Arabidopsis thaliana: one gene and its partner. The protein of the gene in region 1 interacts with the protein of each later gene in a pairwise test. Each region holds a gene or a part of one and is shown in the gene's direction. Other genes may lie near its edges.

What was found.
Region 2: the proteins of WRKY60 (region 1) and GUN5 interact in a two-hybrid assay, tested with the Arabidopsis thaliana proteins (one study listed by BioGRID).

The regions. Positions count from the first base shown.
Region 1 is NC_003071.7:10,627,643-10,632,083, forward strand, and holds WRKY60 (WRKY DNA-binding protein 60), read left to right. Parts: upstream 1-2,019; 5' UTR 2,020-2,169; coding exon 2,170-2,226; exon of another isoform or gene 2,227-2,320; coding exon 2,321-2,383; exon of another isoform or gene 2,384-2,587; coding exon 2,588-2,896; intron 2,897-2,979; coding exon 2,980-3,096; intron 3,097-3,183; coding exon 3,184-3,453; 3' UTR 3,454-3,771; downstream 3,772-4,441. Other genes in the region: AT2G24990 (Serine/threonine-protein kinase Rio1), read left to right, coding at 1-30, 111-182, 274-657; AT2G25010 (Aminotransferase-like, plant mobile domain family protein), read left to right, coding at 4,049-4,132, 4,209-4,441. UniProt on the Arabidopsis thaliana protein: Transcription factor. Interacts specifically with the W box (5'-(T)TGAC[CT]-3'), a frequently occurring elicitor-responsive cis-acting element.
Region 2 is NC_003076.8:4,386,781-4,394,202, reverse strand, and holds GUN5 (magnesium-chelatase subunit chlH, chloroplast, putative / Mg-protoporphyrin IX chelatase, putative (CHLH)), read left to right. Parts: upstream 1-1,773; 5' UTR 1,774-2,120; coding exon 2,121-3,525; intron 3,526-3,620; coding exon 3,621-3,703; intron 3,704-3,802; coding exon 3,803-5,605; intron 5,606-5,694; coding exon 5,695-6,171; coding exon of another isoform or gene 6,172-6,175; intron 6,176-6,258; coding exon 6,259-6,636; 3' UTR 6,637-6,896; downstream 6,897-7,422. Other genes in the region: PDAT (phospholipid:diacylglycerol acyltransferase), read right to left, coding at 229-674.

The DNA.
Region 1 (4,441 bases):
GACGAAAATGTTGATAGCTATTTGGAAGAGGTAATGTATGACTTTTTATATGGATTGTCCATTGAATCAGTGGGCAGCTTTAAATTAATGAATTATGTAACAATGGGCAGGTCCAACGAAAAGTTATAGAGCGAGGAGAGATATCCGTAGAGGATGAAATCGCGGATTCAGTATTCATGAAGGTTAGTTAAGAGTGTATCCAGTTGTGTGAACTGATATGTGAAGTTGTCTGTAGAATAATCTTAATCTTACTGGTTTGTTATTGATGTTCAGTCATACATACCGAAATCTCTGGATGCTGTGAACAACCCTGAGGCTGACGTGGCTAAGATAACAAGCGGGCAGGACACAGGAGACATGCTATACCAAACGATAACGGGGCTTAAGGATGCTCTTCCTAAAATAGAAGAGCAGAAAATAGAGGTGAATGATGAAGAGAAAGAAGAGGAAGGAGAGGAAGAAGAAGACGGAGAAAGTGAAGAAGGAAGTGAGGAAGAAGAGAGTGAAGAAGAATTGGGTCATGAAGACAAGAAAGCTGCAAGGAAAGAGCACAAGAAGAAAGTGAAAGAGGAGAAACGAGAGTCTAGGAAGACGAAGACACCCAAATCTGTCAAGAAGCGAAAGAAGAAAGTCTCTAAACCACACAAGACTCGTTAATCCGAGTTAGAAGTTTTGACACCCCAACTTGTATTTTTATTTATATTTTGAAATTTTGTGTCAAATTCTGGGAAATCGAGTATGGACCCAAAGCTCTCTATATTTCCAAAAATAGCAAGTTCTTGTAATATTCATAGTATGACTTTATTATAGAGCCCGAAATTGGTTTGCTGCTGTTTCAAGAATAGGATTCAAATTTCTGTTCCTTTCCTCACATCCCTAACCAACTTGACAATTCGAATAATGGTTGTGTCTAAATTTATCAACTCAAGTTTTGAGATTGTTGGCTTATAGTATGAAAATTCTAATCCTGCAACTAGTTTATTTACAACATTTTTTCTTTGTTTAATGAGTTCTTGATTTTATACAGTTTAGTGTTTATGAGCTTTTCTTCTTAAGCCTCTGTTTCCATAGTTTATATCTTAATACGTGTTTTCTCTTTCTTTTGGAGCTTTGATTATCTCTTTTAAACTATGTTTTCGAAGATATCTTTGTTTTCTGCCGGTTTTGTAAGATCGGAAAATATATTTTTATTTTATAATATTAATAAAAAAGATGACAAAACAAAAAATAATGATTTTCTTTCAAACTTAATGAACATAAAAAAAAGGGAAACGAAATCTTATTTTGCCTAGCTGACATAATTAACTAATGCAACTAAATGTAGGTAGGATTAAGTAAACAAAAATATGAGACAAAATTAAACATGCCAACCTCCAGGGCATAGTCAATGGGTCAAGTCAAGCGAAAGTTGGTCTGGATCTTACAATGCAACTTAATGTAAAGTACTCATTTTTCTTCGACATGGGACATCCGCCGAAATTGTTGATTTTTGATCCATCTTTACACTTGTTTTCTCCGATTACAACAAAACATAACAATTCGACTACGATTTAACACCTAACCTTTTTAATTTTTTAGGACACGCATTTAGTATTTACGATGCAAGCCAACAAATTTAATCCAACGTATTAAACACAACTTGCTTTTTGTCAATACGTATTAAATTAAATAGTTTTCTTGCAATTTTTGTTTACACATTTCATTAGTATTGTTTTTTTCCAATATTTTTGTTTCTATGTTCAATCACTATCATATGCATAATACACATTATAATTTTGGCACAATTAGAATTACACACAAGGATTTTATAAATGTTTTTAAAATGATTTACAAAAGATTTTATAAAAATTTTACAAAAGTTTTTAAAAGATTTAATAAAAGTTTTAAAACGATTTTACAAAGAGTTTTAAAAACTTTTAAAGGTTTTAAAGAAAGTTTATGAGAATTTACAAGAATTGTAAAAGATTTATAATAATTTTTTTAGAATTAGAAAGGAGACCCTCATTTTCCACCCAAATCGTCAACCTTCTCATAATTGACAAGTTATTACACTCTCTCCACTTACTAGTTACTATAAAACCAAAGGAGACCAAATCTCTTAGCAATTATGAATTTGGTCTTCGCTATAATCTCACGTTACATTAAATTGGCTCCTGTGAACCTAAATTTATGGACTATGATCCCAACACCAATCCGTTCGACCTTCATTTCTCCGGTAAACTTCCGGTGAGTTTTTCAATTTCTTCGAAAATTTCACTTCAATTTTCGAGGTTGTGGTGATTATTCGTGGTGTTCATATATATTTTATTGCCTGATTTAGAAAAGAGAAGTCTCGGCTTCAGCTTCTAAAGTTGTAGAGAAGAAATGGTTAGTGAAAGATGAGGTTAGTTCTTTCATCGAACACTTTGGTGTGCAATACTTTGACCTCAAAATTTTTGACTATGAGTGAATGGATTAGGTTGATCAAGTTCTCATATCTGATTTAGACATTGAATAGTTTGTTTAGATCGGTGATGCTCAAAAGTTGAACAAATCAAAGCTTTGTCTTACAGCTTAGTTTGGTAATGGTGATTTTCATTTTACACAGAAGAGAAATATGCTACAAGATGAAATAAACCGGGTTAATTCGGAGAACAAGAAGCTAACCGAAATGTTAGCAAGAGTCTGTGAGAAGTACTATGCTCTTAATAATCTTATGGAGGAGTTGCAGAGTCGAAAGAGTCCTGAAAGTGTTAACTTTCAGAACAAACAGCTAACGGGGAAACGAAAACAAGAACTTGATGAGTTTGTTAGCTCCCCAATTGGACTCAGTCTCGGACCAATCGAGAACATCACCAACGATAAAGCGACGGTTTCAACCGCTTACTTTGCTGCTGAGAAGTCTGACACAAGCTTGGTAAGGAGATTTCTACTACAAGTATCGTTCTTTGAGTGTATTGATTTGTTAACGAATGTTTTGTGGATATACGTTACTTGTAGACTGTGAAAGATGGATATCAATGGAGGAAATACGGGCAAAAGATTACGAGAGATAATCCATCTCCTAGAGCTTACTTCAGATGCTCGTTTTCACCGTCTTGTCTAGTCAAGAAGAAGGTACTTTGGTTTAAACTTTGTTAAAGAGTTCTTCGATATCATCTTGCTGTCTGATTAAATTCCCTAGTTGTGTGTGCGCTTGTTTAGGTGCAACGAAGTGCAGAAGATCCATCTTTCTTGGTAGCCACTTACGAAGGGACACATAACCACACCGGACCACATGCAAGTGTGTCCAGGACAGTGAAACTTGATCTAGTTCAAGGTGGGCTTGAACCAGTTGAGGAAAAGAAAGAGAGAGGGACGATTCAAGAGGTTTTGGTGCAACAAATGGCTTCTTCGTTGACCAAAGATCCTAAGTTCACTGCAGCTCTTGCGACTGCTATTTCCGGGAGATTGATAGAGCATTCAAGAACATGAAAGTTCTCTAGAACATGTATATTTCTGTTTTGTTCTATTTTGTTGCTCATTCCTAGTAAAAAGGTAAAGATTTGTTTGATCTTGATTAGGAGGCATAGATGTCAATTTTAATGTGTGTGTATATAATTACATCAAATCTAAGTATCCAAAAAGGGTCACCCCCATTTTATCTTATGTTGAAAGAGTTTTGTTATAGCTCGGTGTAAGTATGGTAGATTGACGCTGCTTCGACAGTTTATGTATCTTCCAATGTTATCTTGTTCAGTTGTTTGTATTAACTTCCATTAGAGAAGAATGTGATGCCATTACAGACATAAAAGAAACAGAGAAACCCGGAAACAGAGTAAAACCACGAAAAACAGAGTCGGTTTAAGAGAACCAAACCAAAATAACCGGTACAGCTATAAAAAGCCAAGAAGAAAAATTATGAACCGAGTCCAAATTAGGTTACGGTTAGCTTCCAATCCCAACTTCTTCTTCTTCTTCATCTGTGTTTAGTCCCAAATTGAAGAATCAAAAGTTTCGTGTTTTGAGAATTTGACAAAAATTTGTTTATGTAATCTTAGTTTTCGCTGATTTTGAGTAAGTTATCGACATGGATATTGATGTCGGACCAGTTGATCCATCTGTCCTATACGAGCAAGACCTCCATGTTTCTTCTGCTGTTTGGGAAGGACAGGTTTTTTTCTTAATTCCCTTGCTAAATTTCAGATTTTGAATTTAGGGTTAATCTTATTTCCCCTTACTTACCTTAGGAACGAGGTCTACTTCGTTGTCAAGAACACACTTCATTGCTACATCAATGGAAACTCACTGATGAACAAATTAACCTCGTGGACAAAGCTGGTTTCGGTTACTTTCGCAAAATCGGTCCAATGAGTTTAAACAATTCACTGATCTCTGCACTTGTTGAGCGATGGAGAAGAGAAACCAATACTTTTCATCTTCCTTTAGGAGAAATGACTATAACCTTAGACGAAGTTGCTTT
Region 2 (7,422 bases), on another chromosome or scaffold:
ACAGAAATAGTCCAAGCCAATTACGTCCTTGGAACGCTTACCTTACACATACAGAAATAGTCTCTTAAGAAAATAGCGTTTCACATCAAAAAAAAAAAAAAGTAAAGAGTAAGACAGACAAACATGGAATTAAAGTTTGAGTGATGTTGAAGAAGCAACAAGTGCGTGATCTCATCAGATCCAATCCAAATCCCAATATAAAGGAAGAGTGAGAATTGTTGAGCTCACCTTTTGTAGACTTCACCAAAAGTTCCACCCCACAAACGTTTTCTAAATAAACCATCAGCGCATTGTTTGCCTTCCCAAAGCTCGAGCCCACCGGTGACAATCCCAGGAATGAAGACAACAGGATGTTTCGCCTTAAGACCTTCTTTTTTGAGCTTAACACCGGGCGGGTCAGGCAAAGGACCCGTGATTCGCTCCGTTACATACTGAGGGAAGCTCGCAGGCATTGCGTTGTAAAGGAAGAGAAGAAACCACCAGGTTACACACACACACCCAATGAACCAACAACAAGAATCGATGCACGACCACTTCCCTCCTCCGTTCGATTTCTTATGGTGGGATTTGGAAGATTCGTGTGGTTTCTTTTGCGAATCCTCATCGTGCACCACCTCTTCAGATGGCGGCGTCGATGGTTTCTCCGTCGGCTTTTTCCGATGAATAAGGGGCATATCTGTCACTTGAAATTAAACCAGGTTAAGCTATACGGACTTTGTCAAATCTCGTCCAGGAATTTAGAACACAGATTAGGGATTGTTAGATCAGTCGAGAGAGACAAAGAGCTGTTTCTCTGCGAATTTCTGGAACCAATCAAATCAAATTTGTCTCTTTTGTTTATTGTCGACTTTTCTGTTTTTTTCTGTTCTGGTATTATTCCTCCAAGGGACTCGGACCGGATGGCAAAACTTGACCACTTTGCTCCTGGTTCAGGTTGCGGTTCATGGTCAACCTTAGACCCGACCTATCCGTTTCGTTGATTTCATTAATTAGTCTGCGTTTTCTTGGGTGGAGTGCAGACAGATTTTCTTCTGCAGTAGGCGTTAATCCGATAGGCTCTTGTTGGGCCTCAAATAGTTCAGTAAACTTTTCGTGGGGCTTTTAGTATAGCCCATGTATTAATAACAATATTACACTTGGGAAATGACAAAAAAAAAAAAGAGAATGAAGCGGTACTCTTATATCAAAAAAACATATTGTATATCTTCGAATATGATGCAACTCATGCAACAACAATACTAGTAGGCTACATGTATTGCTCCATTTAATTACATATAACTTAATATTCTAATTCATAAACTTTCTTTTAATTATATATTTTATGTAAGTTTTAAATATTGAAAAAAAAAAAAGTTTTAAATATTGAAACATGATAAGTTTTTACATCCATTTATTATAAAAAAAATAGTGATGATGATGATCAAAATTTTGAGTACATTTTAGAGTGTTTTAACTTTTACATTTGTTGTTACAATTGTTATGAGTCTGATATTTCAAATTTCGTTTTCAAAGAAAAATCCTGAGTTTACCTTAAAAGATTAAAGCCAGTTTTTAAGAAATAAGTAGAAAAATATCAAACCAGACCTAGCTGAACCAAAAATTATACAAAATCTAGACCGGATTAAACCGGCTACCCGACGAATATGCCTAGTAAAAGTGTCGTCATCGGAAAAGAATCTTTTACATGGCTGAAACCGCAAATACGATCTTCAAGAGAGCAACATAAAAATACTTGTCAAATAAGTAAAGAAAATAAGACACTCAATATCCACACTCCCAAACCATGAAAATATGAATAGAAATCTCAATGAGCCAATCAGAGGCCAGCAAAGTCCATCTCATTGTCCCAAGCGGATATACATCCGACAAAACTCAACCTCACAAGTAGACTCTCCCTTCTTCCGTAACTATTCGTCCACGTGTCCTTCCCTCTCACCACTTACCTTCAAAACCAACGCTTCTTTTTTAGTTCCTTGGTCCGAAGCGTTTACCGATGAGAGAATCATAAACTCCCACTTGGAGCTCAAAAAGTGTAAGAGACAACCAACAAAAAACGATTCATCTCTTCTCCTATCCTCTCCTCTTCGAATTCAACGTTTGGAGAATCCAGCAGCCGCAAAATGGCTTCGCTTGTGTATTCTCCATTCACTCTATCCACTTCTAAAGCAGAGCATCTCTCTTCGCTCACTAACAGTACCAAACATTCTTTCCTCCGGAAGAAACACAGATCAACCAAACCAGCCAAATCTTTCTTCAAGGTGAAATCTGCTGTATCTGGAAACGGCCTCTTCACACAGACGAACCCGGAGGTCCGTCGTATAGTTCCGATCAAGAGAGACAACGTTCCGACGGTGAAAATCGTCTACGTCGTCCTCGAGGCTCAGTACCAGTCTTCTCTCAGTGAAGCCGTGCAATCTCTCAACAAGACTTCGAGATTCGCATCCTACGAAGTGGTTGGATACTTGGTCGAGGAGCTTAGAGACAAGAACACTTACAACAACTTCTGCGAAGACCTTAAAGACGCCAACATCTTCATTGGTTCTCTGATCTTCGTCGAGGAATTGGCGATTAAAGTTAAGGATGCGGTGGAGAAGGAGAGAGACAGGATGGACGCAGTTCTTGTCTTCCCTTCAATGCCTGAGGTAATGAGACTGAACAAGCTTGGATCTTTTAGTATGTCTCAATTGGGTCAGTCAAAGTCTCCGTTTTTCCAACTCTTCAAGAGGAAGAAACAAGGCTCTGCTGGTTTTGCCGATAGTATGTTGAAGCTTGTTAGGACTTTGCCTAAGGTTTTGAAGTACTTACCTAGTGACAAGGCTCAAGATGCTCGTCTCTACATCTTGAGTTTACAGTTTTGGCTTGGAGGCTCTCCTGATAATCTTCAGAATTTTGTTAAGATGATTTCTGGATCTTATGTTCCGGCTTTGAAAGGTGTCAAAATCGAGTATTCGGATCCGGTTTTGTTCTTGGATACTGGAATTTGGCATCCACTTGCTCCAACCATGTACGATGATGTGAAGGAGTACTGGAACTGGTATGACACTAGAAGGGACACCAATGACTCACTCAAGAGGAAAGATGCAACGGTTGTCGGTTTAGTCTTGCAGAGGAGTCACATTGTGACTGGTGATGATAGTCACTATGTGGCTGTTATCATGGAGCTTGAGGCTAGAGGTGCTAAGGTCGTTCCTATATTCGCAGGAGGGTTGGATTTCTCTGGTCCAGTAGAGAAATATTTCGTAGACCCGGTGTCGAAACAGCCCATCGTAAACTCTGCTGTCTCCTTGACTGGTTTTGCTCTTGTTGGTGGACCTGCAAGGCAGGATCATCCCAGGGCTATCGAAGCCCTGAAAAAGCTCGATGTTCCTTACCTTGTGGCAGTACCACTGGTGTTCCAGACGACAGAGGAATGGCTAAACAGCACACTTGGTCTGCATCCCATCCAGGTGGCTCTGCAGGTTGCCCTCCCTGAGCTTGATGGAGCGATGGAGCCAATCGTTTTCGCTGGTCGTGACCCTAGAACAGGTTAGTCCACTTATGACCATATTGCATTTTTCATGATTGTCATTACGCAAGAGTGGGAATGTTTTCTTATGGAGGTGGTTTACCAATTGCTGCAGGGAAGTCACATGCTCTCCACAAGAGAGTGGAGCAACTCTGCATCAGAGCGATTCGATGGGGTGAGCTCAAAAGAAAAACTAAGGTATTGTATTACCACTCATCCTTAGTGAAATCACATTCCTTCATGACTTTCTCAAGAATGTAATGTATGTTCTCATGAATCAACTCTGGCTCATTGCAGGCAGAGAAGAAGCTGGCAATCACTGTTTTCAGTTTCCCACCTGATAAAGGTAATGTAGGGACTGCAGCTTACCTCAATGTGTTTGCTTCCATCTTCTCGGTGTTAAGAGACCTCAAGAGAGATGGCTACAATGTTGAAGGCCTTCCTGAGAATGCAGAGACTCTTATTGAAGAAATCATTCATGACAAGGAGGCTCAGTTCAGCAGCCCTAACCTCAATGTAGCTTACAAAATGGGAGTCCGTGAGTACCAAGACCTCACTCCTTATGCAAATGCCCTGGAAGAAAACTGGGGGAAACCTCCGGGGAACCTTAACTCAGATGGAGAGAACCTTCTTGTCTATGGAAAAGCGTACGGTAATGTTTTCATCGGAGTGCAACCAACATTTGGGTATGAAGGTGATCCCATGAGGCTGCTTTTCTCCAAGTCAGCAAGTCCTCATCACGGTTTTGCTGCTTACTACTCTTATGTAGAAAAGATCTTCAAAGCTGATGCTGTTCTTCATTTTGGAACACATGGTTCTCTCGAGTTTATGCCCGGGAAGCAAGTGGGAATGAGTGATGCTTGTTTTCCCGACAGTCTTATCGGGAACATTCCCAATGTCTACTATTATGCAGCTAACAATCCCTCTGAAGCTACCATTGCAAAGAGGAGAAGTTATGCCAACACCATCAGTTATTTGACTCCTCCAGCTGAGAATGCTGGTCTATACAAAGGGCTGAAGCAGTTGAGTGAGCTGATATCGTCCTATCAGTCTCTGAAGGACACGGGGAGAGGTCCACAGATCGTCAGTTCCATCATCAGCACAGCTAAGCAATGTAATCTTGATAAGGATGTGGATCTTCCAGATGAAGGCTTGGAGTTGTCACCTAAAGACAGAGATTCTGTGGTTGGGAAAGTTTATTCCAAGATTATGGAGATTGAATCAAGGCTTTTGCCGTGCGGGCTTCACGTCATTGGAGAGCCTCCATCCGCCATGGAAGCTGTGGCCACACTGGTCAACATTGCTGCTCTAGATCGTCCGGAGGATGAGATTTCAGCTCTTCCTTCTATATTAGCTGAGTGTGTTGGAAGGGAGATAGAGGATGTTTACAGAGGAAGCGACAAGGGTATCTTGAGCGATGTAGAGCTTCTCAAAGAGATCACTGATGCCTCACGTGGCGCTGTTTCCGCCTTTGTGGAAAAAACAACAAATAGCAAAGGACAGGTGGTGGATGTGTCTGACAAGCTTACCTCGCTTCTTGGGTTTGGAATCAATGAGCCATGGGTTGAGTATTTGTCCAACACCAAGTTCTACAGGGCGAACAGAGATAAGCTCAGAACAGTGTTTGGTTTCCTTGGAGAGTGCCTGAAGTTGGTGGTCATGGACAACGAACTAGGGAGTCTAATGCAAGCTTTGGAAGGCAAGTACGTCGAGCCTGGCCCCGGAGGTGATCCCATCAGAAACCCAAAGGTCTTACCAACCGGTAAAAACATCCATGCCTTAGATCCTCAGGCTATTCCCACAACAGCAGCAATGGCAAGTGCCAAGATTGTGGTTGAGAGGTTGGTAGAGAGACAGAAGCTCGAAAACGAAGGGAAATATCCCGAGACAATCGCGCTTGTTCTTTGGGGAACTGACAACATCAAAACATATGGGGAGTCTCTTGGGCAGGTTCTTTGGATGATTGGTGTGAGACCAATTGCTGATACTTTTGGAAGAGTGAACCGTGTCGAGCCTGTGAGCTTAGAAGAACTAGGAAGGCCGAGGATCGATGTAGTTGTTAACTGCTCAGGGGTCTTCCGTGATCTCTTTATCAACCAGGTAACCAGATAAAAGCTTTCTCTCTTCTTTCATTTAGATTCTTGTTGGTTGGTCTCTCATGGTGTTTCTTCCTTGAATTATCTTGACAGATGAACCTTCTTGACCGAGCTATCAAGATGGTGGCGGAGCTAGATGAGCCTGTAGAGCAAAATTTTGTAAGGAAACACGCGTTGGAACAAGCAGAGGCGCTTGGCATTGATATTAGAGAGGCAGCGACAAGAGTTTTCTCAAACGCTTCAGGGTCATACTCAGCCAACATCAGTCTTGCTGTTGAAAACTCGTCATGGAACGATGAGAAACAGCTTCAGGACATGTACTTGAGCCGCAAATCGTTTGCGTTTGATAGTGATGCTCCTGGAGCAGGAATGGCTGAGAAGAAGCAGGTCTTTGAGATGGCTCTTAGCACTGCAGAAGTCACCTTCCAGAACCTGGATTCTTCAGAGATTTCTTTGACTGATGTGAGCCACTACTTCGATTCTGACCCTACAAATCTAGTTCAGAGTTTGAGGAAGGATAAGAAGAAACCAAGCTCTTACATTGCTGACACTACAACTGCAAACGCGCAGGTGAGTGAATTTTCTTTGTAGTTCATATATGGGATCAGTTTTACCTTGCAAGAACACATTCCTTAAGGTATTTGTTGAATCTGGCAGGTGAGGACACTATCTGAGACAGTGAGGCTGGACGCAAGAACAAAGCTGCTGAATCCAAAGTGGTACGAAGGAATGATGTCAAGTGGATATGAAGGAGTTCGTGAGATAGAGAAGAGACTGTCCAACACTGTGGGATGGAGTGCAACGTCAGGTCAAGTAGACAATTGGGTCTACGAGGAGGCCAACTCAACTTTCATCCAAGACGAGGAGATGCTGAACCGTCTCATGAACACCAATCCCAACTCCTTCAGGAAAATGCTTCAGACTTTCTTGGAGGCCAATGGTCGTGGCTACTGGGACACTTCCGCTGAAAACATAGAGAAGCTCAAGGAATTGTACTCGCAGGTGGAAGACAAGATCGAAGGGATCGATCGATAAACAATGGGATATAAGCCTTTCTTCTTGTAAATGAACTTAAAACTTTATTTTTGTGTATTACAGTATTCTACCAAACGACATCATCTCTCTGTGAATAAGAGAATGTTTTGGCTGACATTTTCTGACTTTATATGAATGTTGTGGAGCTTCTTCTTTCATCTCCATTTCTTATATCATATTCATATGTGTGGATTTTATATGCGAAGAAAATGAAACTATAGTTAAGTGTAAACAAACTATGGTTGAGTCATGCTTTTGCGCCAAGAAAGGACAATTTGTCTTTATGTGAATTCAAAGTGGAGCGTTTTGGAGAAGCACTAGATCTAAGGTGTTCTCACATGTATATATAAGATGAAGCTATGCTGTGAACGTGGCAAAGGGAAATGAGCAAGAGAGAGATACAATGTAGAAAGCAAGCAAGAGAGAGAGATAGCCATTAAAAAGGTGTAATCTTTGGTTTTTCTCTTGAGAGTGTAACAGAGAAGAGATCTCAAGTGTGAGACTCTTTCTCTGTGGAATTCCCTCTTGTAACTTGCTTATTCTAGTGGATTCCGAGATGTGACTCGGCCCAGACTTTAGCATAAATATTATGTGTGTTCTCTCTTCCTTTCTCACCTTTCTCCTATCAAAGTCTCTGTTCTTTTCTCTGCATATATTATGTTTCATTTCCATGTGTTGGACTCTGTTTTGCATCAAACTACTTCAGTCTTGGTTTGCTAAGGTTTAAGCTCAAGAAAGTCAATAAGTCTTTGAGCCTCTGAAACCAAACAATATGGAACAAAACAT